Kluyveromyces lactis: one gene and its partner. The protein of the gene in region 2 interacts with the protein of the main gene of each other region in a biochemical or structural test. Links are inferred from orthologs where the notes say so. Each region holds a gene or a part of one and is shown on either strand. Other genes may lie near its edges.

The links.
Region 1: the proteins of YPP1 (region 2) and STT4 form a complex in vitro, tested with the Saccharomyces cerevisiae proteins (2 studies listed by BioGRID). The link is inferred for Kluyveromyces lactis from reciprocal best matches to the Saccharomyces cerevisiae genes YPP1 and STT4.

Annotation. Positions count from the first base shown.
Region 1 is NC_006039.1:1,510,894-1,515,269, forward strand, and holds the start of STT4 (1-phosphatidylinositol 4-kinase STT4), read left to right. Parts: upstream 1-1,553; coding exon 1,554-4,376. Other genes in the region: KLLA0_C17270g (uncharacterized protein), read left to right, coding at 36-1,322. UniProt on the Saccharomyces cerevisiae protein: Acts on phosphatidylinositol (PI) in the first committed step in the production of the second messenger inositol 1,4,5,-trisphosphate. STT4 functions in PKC1 protein kinase pathway.
Region 2 is NC_006042.1:2,038,709-2,042,974, reverse strand, and holds YPP1 (Ypp1p), read right to left. Parts: upstream 2,825-4,266; coding exon 665-2,824; downstream 1-664. Other genes in the region: dolichyl-phosphate-mannose-protein mannosyltransferase PMT6, read right to left, coding at 1-319; TMA22 (Tma22p), read right to left, coding at 3,257-3,859. UniProt on the Saccharomyces cerevisiae protein: Involved in endocytosis.

The DNA of each region.
Region 1 (4,376 bases), on a different chromosome or scaffold from region 2:
CTTCACTTGGTGGTGACCATCCAAATATTTTATAGATGAGCGTGCCGCAGTTGCCAGGTTTGACATATGATCCTGTAAGGAAGAGATATTTCAAAGAACAAGCTGGTGATAGAAAGAACAAAAAGGAATCAAAGTTGCCAGATGGTCTTAACAGGTCAGTGGCACACAAAGAGTACGTGAAATGCGTAGATGCACTCATAGAAGGCCATCCACTACCGCGTCCCGAATGGTTCAGGTTTCAGAATAAAACACTTCAACTGGCGACTACGTACACTTTGCCCTCATTCATCTCTCAGCAGGGGCCCAGTGAAATCCAAATGGGACGAACTGGTCACTCCATTATACTGAACGATGCAAGTTTCCGTCTCTTTGAATTATCTATCGATGAGTCTGATGATTCCTTCAAAGTTTCATTTAATAGAGACTCATCCGCCCATGAAACGGTAACGTACTTCAAAACATGCGACCAATTTACCATCAGTATAAACCGCTTCAATGATTTCAATTTCAACACAGAGAAAATAATGGCAGGAGGAAAGTTGAAACTACCTGAAGTTATTGATGTGAACTCATTTGAAAATGAGACAGATACATATCTTCTGTTTCTATCATCCCGAGCGTACCAGTTGATTCAATATAACGGAACTCGATTGAAGACTTCAAAAGAGAATAAACTTCCGAAAAAATTCGGCGACGCAATGAGCTGTATCTTGCTTGGGCAGGATGTATTCCTCATTGGATTCAGAAATGGTTCAGTAATGATTTTTGATACTGGCAACAATAATGGAGGGGGCCCCAAGGCATATACATGGTTCAAATCGGATGGGCCTATAATTTCAATTACTCGAACAGCAAATGAGCCCGAATCAGATTTACTCTTGTCAATTGGGAAATATCCATTTCAGAAACTTATTTTGCTGAATCATAGAGGTAAAATATTGGCAGAATTTCAAAGCAGGTACTCCAACTTATCCAAGAACAAGGAAATACTCTCTATAATAAGAAATGAGGAATTGCATTGCGCCCTATACGGGAAGCGATTAGAAACAGAAGTCGATATGTTCTCTTTGAACACACCAAACTTGAAGTTTCCAGTGAATCTCAATTGGAATTGGGCGGGGTATGCAGAGATACTTGATATTTTACCATACAATCGTGAGGAAACCGTGCTTTTCCCTTTAGAAAAATGCTACATCAGAAAGCGATCCATCGCCAACGTCATTTTCCACAAATACAATACATATGGGCTGGATTCTACTAGGGTTTTAATTCTTATCAGAGACAACCATAACACTCTAGAAATCAAAGAGTACGTGTTTTAATCATCCCGATATATATATTTATCTACTTATGTATGGATGGGAATTAAGTGCTTATTCACGTGACAGATAATTTTATTTTCTGTCGCTGCAGAAACCTGTCGAGACTCAACACTCATGGAAAAAACCTTTAAATTCTAGCTTCAAGTAGCGAAACATACATTGAGAGGCTTCTATTGACACATTTTAGTAAGGCAACAGCAGCAGCAATAAGCCAGCATATATTCTAAGAAGATGAGAGGCTTGAAAAGGTGCGGAATCTCTTTGAGAGCACGTGCTTTGCAGAAGCTTTGTGAAGTCAATGGTTCAGAAGATCCACCTTTATCGAAACTCATAAATTCGTTGCCCATTGCTTATTCTTCCAATGTCTCGAAGCTATACTCAATTCCATTAACTTTAAAAGAACTTGAGATAATTTTTGCTATTTGTGATACTTCCCCACAAGATCTGGAAACTGTTGAATCCATTATCGATAATTTGATAACACCGTACTTTGTGGACTGTTCAAAACATAAATTTACTGATGTTGTAACAAGTAAATTCAAGAACAATGGGTTCAAGAACCCATTAGAAGTATTGTGCCATAAGATGACATTTTTCTTATTGAGAGCTAGTACCAAGTTTTCTAGTTTAACTGGTAAGGTGAACAGACTTTTCAGCGAGTATTTGAAAACTATACAATCCACACTATCGGTCAATGCTCTAGTGTCTTTCCTTGGCCATATGGAAGCAATGGCTGCCGGTATCCAAAAATCTGACAGAATCACTCAATTCCATTGGGAATTAGTGTTCCATTTGATCCAAATTTTGAACTCTGAGTTTTTGTTGAAGGCTGAAACGGTGTTGTCGCAATCGGTATCAAATGATATTTTAGTTGACTATTTCGATAATCATCGTGAAATTTGTGCTCTGAGATTTGTCCATTTGTTGGCTAAGGTCCAGGTGAATCTGCTAACTGTTGTGTTTGATGTGAAGAATCACGAAAACTTGTCCGAGTACCTATTGATAATCCAGGACCTTGAATACCAGGAAGAAACAGGTAACGAAGAGTATGTGAAATTCAAACAAATCACCGTGGAAAACTCTAGAGAGTTGAACAAAATTGCCTCTAACGCTGCTAAAATCATAACATTAGTTGACGATGGTGCTCCTTACATGAACTTGCAGACGTACAATACAGTTTCATTAGCATACAGGTGTAAAGTCAGCAACATGGAGATTCTCGCGTTCTCATTATTTATTGATGAACACGAAAGCGGTATGTTATCTACCAAATTGATCTCTATCTCCATTCAAGAAATTGAAACGTTACACGCCACCATTCGCTTAGAAAGTCCTGAAGTTTTGAAAGCAATTGTTAATGTCGCATCGTTGATGAATTTCTTTACCGATAGATTATCGGCTCGGTTGCTGAATGTCTTCCCCTTGATTGTGTCTTCTCAACAGATCAGCACGGAATTAGTAACACAATTGTCTGCTAACTTTGCTATTGGTTTGAAGCCATTGAGCGAAGATGCTATTGTAGGCACTATTTACTCGCTTAATAATTTGTTGGCGGTGACAAAGGATGGCTCCCCAGTTCCCCTATTGAAAGAGCGTAAGATGACAGTTTCCGATATGAATGAACTAGATAAGATGTTCCCAAGACAAAGAAAGGCTAATACTTTCACTTCGTTAAATGATATGAGAGTTTACCTTGGCGCTGAGAATGACAACAGCAGCACTGCTTCCTTAGTCCTCAGCAAAGTGGCCGAAGCAGAAGAAAAAACTTTGTTTGATACATCTAACACACATTATCATGATCAGTTATTCAAAAATGCAGTCATGGCATGTGTTACAGTGGCCAGGTACTACGGTGATCAAGCTATTTCTGCATTGGCAATAACAATCCTAACTCAAAAGTTTAGGGCCCTTTCCACTAAATCCGACAGATTGATCCTTGAAGGATTGGCTCACATTTTGCCATTTGTGGCGGATAATGAGTTCAGAATGCTATGCAAGTTTTACAACTCGGTTAGTTTACAATCCTTAAAGGAGGAAAACACAGACATACTAGATGCGGTGTTGTCTGCTAGAGTGATCATTAGCAAAGAGCTCAAGAATGGTACAAAAGGTGCTTCTTACATGTACTATTTGAGAAGCATTTTGGATATTATTGTCAGTAGGGGTGATGTTGAGAAATTAGAACACCACAGGTCACACCATGAAATTTCCAAGGTCGCCGAACAAATCGCCTTTTTCTTGAAACCATTGGCATTACTGTTACCAGTTCCTGGTGAAGATGTGTCTATCAGAGATATCTTGGGAAAAGATGCTGTAACAACTTCCGCTTTCCGTAATATTTGGTTCAACATGGTTATTCATGGGTTCCATATCAAATCTGATATGGCATTGAAGTTCAGAAGGGAACTAGAGATTATTGCATATAACTCCCCTCCTCTCGTATCGGATTTCCCTTCAAACAATAAGGAAACCACATTGGAAATGAATACTATTTTACGTCGTGGTTCATCTAATCATAACGTTAAGGCCCAAAAGTCTTCAATTCAACATATCCTTTCCTCGAATGTTATCGCAACAAGAACTATTTCAACCACGAAAATCATGTTCTTAGCTGCATCGTTTTTCCTTGAAAGCATTCGTTGCGATATTGGCGACTGTTCAACAATTTTGGAATATTTCTCAGATTCAACTATTGTTAATACTAATTTGGATAGATTCCTTGGACCAATCGCCATTAATTTGAATAATAAATATTTACAAACTGTTCCAACTGGCGATCTAAAGCTATTTTCCGCGAAAAAGAGTTCCGGTGAATTGAAGAAGATGTTCTTAATGCTGACACATAGAGACCTCTTTCTTCAAGACTGCGCTTTCCAATGCTGTGATATCTTTATCAAAAAGTTGCCTTCAAGCTTATGCCATCATGACTCACTTTATGCATTGTTGGATTCACTAAGCATGCTGTTTGATAGTGTATCTGATTTTGAGACAAGAAAGTACGATCCGAGATTCGAGTTTACCTTGAGAACTAGTGGTATCAAAGTGTTGTTAACG
Region 2 (4,266 bases):
GGTAGAACTCATGCTTTAAATAATATGATCCAAATTTCCCAAAATGAGCCTCGTCCCAGACAACGATGTTGCTTCTGTCAATCTTGTAGAACCGAAGCACGAAAGATACCAGTGTTAGTAATAAGCAAACATATGTGTGAAATCGGTGGTTTCTGTTGGAAAATATTGAAGATTTCAATGGCTTCACCAGCTTATCCTCTACAGGTTCATTATCTCTTAAGAAGTCCTCTAAAACCTCTGTACCATCGAATTGTGCTTTTCTTTCTCTCAATCGCAAGTCTGAAGAGTTCGGTAAAAATCCAGATGATTTAGAAACCATTATTACCCTTGGACGAACCACTTGCCCTTCCTGTATAAAGGGTAACCTATTGCGCTTTCCAATTCATTAAAGGATGCCCAGGTATCATTTCTGCTTCTTTCCCGAGATCTTGGACACGGTCCATCCGTAGATATATCAACATCGAAAACGAAATTAGCCTTCTCGATAAGTCAGGTGACTAGACAAGCTTGGGTAAAATTTAGCGTGTCATACATAATTCAACTCAGTATATTCTATAGTCACAATATAAATCTATATACTAGAATGTAATATGTTATACTTCAGCTGCCACAGTGGAAATATTATGGATATCAGAACACTTGGATGAGGTAAATTGAAAGAATATCAGAAATTACAGAACTTGAATTCGCGAACGGGTTGAAGTTCTTCGTACTTGATGCATCGCCATAGCGCCTCCTGTTGTCTGGTAGAATCAGAATATATTTCGTATATTTTTGATAGATACCACCACACTGCAGATGTTTGATAACCTTCTATCGATTTATCGACTAGTTCTTCGAATAAGAACTTAAGTCTGGCTACAGCAGAAGAAGTTTCGAGTGACGTGGCAGAATTTCTATGTAGCTCCTTTTGGTTTATTTTGGAGTTATGCTTGAGATCCGTATCCAGGTTTGCCTCTTCATCAGGAAGCACGATTTTTGCCAAACCGATCAATGCCTCGACAGATGTAGAGTCATAGTGCAAAACTTTTTCGAATTCCGCTGTCGCTTTTTCAGAGTGACCATGTGTATACAACACGAATCCTTGTGCGAGGTTGTGGTTCAAATTAACATATTTTGAAGTTACGTTCTTAAACTCATCTAACGCAGCCTTTACATTTTCGATATCGTCATTTTCCAGGTATAATTCCAATGCAAACAACCAAATCTTCTGCAATAGATAGTCGTTACTCTGATTGATTTGAGGACCAAGGGGTTCTGAAGCATCTGAAAAGAGACGCTGATAAAGTTCGAATACCTCTGGCAAAATTTCAAGTGCATCTTCAAGTGCAAACATGTCTCTAACTAGTTGAAGTTGAGTTAATTTAATGTGAATAAACTGCCATTTTTCATCAATTGTGAATTGCCTGCCTTCATCGAAAAGTTCACACATTGATTGAATGACAGAATTGATAATTTTGAAACTTACTTGTAAATCTTCATTGATGCAGGATTCACATAACGCAAGAAGATGCCAACTAGCGAAATGTTCTGGATGAAGTGTTAATATTTGTTTTTTTAGATAAGCGATGCATTGGTCAATTTGTCTTAATGTAGCCAAATGATAAGCGAACTTAAACTTTAATGACACAGAAGCGTTCAAAGACGTTTGCAAAGAATTCGATAGGTAAAATATCTGACTGTGATCTACCAAGGCTGGGAGAGAAGAAGCGCTAGTTTCGTATAACGTTTCCCATGAACTGGATAGAACAGAAGCTGTTGATGAGGCTAGACATAAGTCCAATACATCTGAGCTGCCTTCTAGTGCCTTTTGTTTTTCTATAATAGGGATACTGTACTTGTTGTGAATTCTTTCTAGCAACTTTAAGAAATCGGATGATACGTTTGCTGGCATGAAGAACGGTTCAAATGGCGTTTTACATGTAGACAGAATGAATTGGTACGATGAAACTAAGTCTAATAAGTCAGGATACCTTTTGTTAAGTTCGTAATATTTGTTTGAATAATTGACCAAATTGGTAAAGTTTAGAATGCTCCTCTTTAGATCGACCTTTCGATAAAAGAGCATTGCTGATTTTGCAACCGAAATACTTTGGAAACTTTTTTCCATACTATCAATGATAAATTGCTCCCATTCTTTCTTCACATTTAAATTATTTATTTTGAGATGCTCTTGTAGGACCATGTGGAATTGTTCTAGTTCAAAATTATTTGATTCATCAGCATTAGGGAAACGACTTTTCTTCAATAATGAATGGCTATAAGATAGAAGATTTGAGTCAGTTGCAGAACCATTAAGGGTCAAAAGCATCCATTGGAATGGTGTTTTTGGCTTAAAATGAGAGAGGTCCAGCCCTTTTATTATTGCCTGCAAATAATGCCAAGTTAAGCCATCAGAATATTTCGGAATAGTCCAGCTTTCAGAGGAAAACTCAGCTAAGTCGACATTTCCCTTATAAAATAGCCTTTCCAAATCTAGCATTCTTCCAAATCTATCGTATCCATTAACGCTGCCTAACTTCTTAGAGACGTACTGCAACCCCTTTTCCTTTTCATCAAGTTCACAGAAAACAATACCATAGATATTGTCCGCAATTGCACAGTGTAATTCATCCTTTAGAACGGGCAACTTCTCCACTTCAGATAAAAGGGCCGACAGTGCACTGAATTTTGTCTTTGTAGAAATGTTTATGTGATAATGGGCTCTATAATGAAGAGATAATAATTGATCCAGCAAAGCATCTGACGATTGAAAAACGCTTGAACCAATTAGTCGAGAATCTAAAGCATGATTCACCGAATCATCAATGTATCCTCTGGTCATAGTACAATTGACTTCCGAATGCTTCCGTGATTCAACCAATTGGTAAGCAAATACAAGAGTGCTCAGTGTATTACTCAAGGCTCTTTCTCTTGTTTACTCTCTGTGCTCGGTGAAAATAGCTTTTAGTTTATTTTACATTTTGACATGTTTCCTCACCATCTAACGGTGCATAATGGAAGTGGAAGTGAAGAAAAAGTGATCTTACCCGGATATTCTTTTGTAAGGTATTGCCCTTCCTCACCATGGGAGTATATTTATGGGAACCTAATAGCTACTACAGTTATTATATATGAGGGTATAGATATAGCATCTTACTGATGTTTAATTGTGCAGTTTGTTGAACGATGAATGCGGTATTATATAAATCTTTCTACCTAAGAGGCTAACATAAAGTTATGACAAAAGGGTGTCAGCTAAATGTGCTTCTCATAATCATTTCTTATTTTCGGATCCTGGTGTAGTTGTAGTTTCAGCTTTTTTCTTCTTCTTCGCGGCATCGATTACTTCTACCTTAACTTCTTTCATACCTTTTTCCTCTAGTAAAGAATGTATATATGCTTCTACTTCATCTGCCAAATCACCTTGAACAATCACTTCTTCTTTCTTCTCGGCATTTTTGGAGATAGAACAACCTGTAGCAAATTTGGATGCAAAAGTTTTGGAAAGTTTCTTCATGTCAATTTCGAAAACTTCTAGTCCAGAGATAGCAATCATACACTTCCGTTTTGTTCTTGCTTCTCTTCTGATCACAACTTTAGACGATAATTTCTTAGCCAATTCTCTTTCCTCTCTAGCCTGTTGTTTTCTTTCTAGTTTCTCTAGGGCCTTTTCAAGCTTCTCCTCTCTTTCATCACCAATAGATGATTCTGCCAATTGTTTAGACACATCTTCAGTGACATCGCCATACCATTTGGTGTACAATTCTGGGTGGTTTTCTTGTAACCAAGCTTTACAACGTTTGAATTTACCGGAAAATTCACAGTATTCAGCAGGAAAGTCACACACACCACAGTATATAACGTTAGTGAGAGGCATTCTGTATATTCTTCTGTCTCTTTAATTAATTCTAACGTATAAATCTCAAACTGAATCAAGCGTAACTTAATTACACGTAATGTTATTCTGAACACACCTCATCTCATGCATTAGTGATTTTCTGTTTCAATATTTTTTTCAATATTTCACTGTAAAGATCGATTCACTTTCTTCAGTAACTACGTAATCTACTACTTACATATACTAAGTGTTTACTTAGACATGCACAAATAGCGGCGAACTTTGGTTACACTCACACTGAATACACTTCTTTGGAATGGCAACGTATGATGATTTTGCTACTGATACTGTAATAATAACGTCAAAGACAAAGGACGTGTGCTCCAAGCCCTTGTTTGATGAGATCGTAAATAAGGTGCAAGAATGTGTGGTGGATACTCGACAGA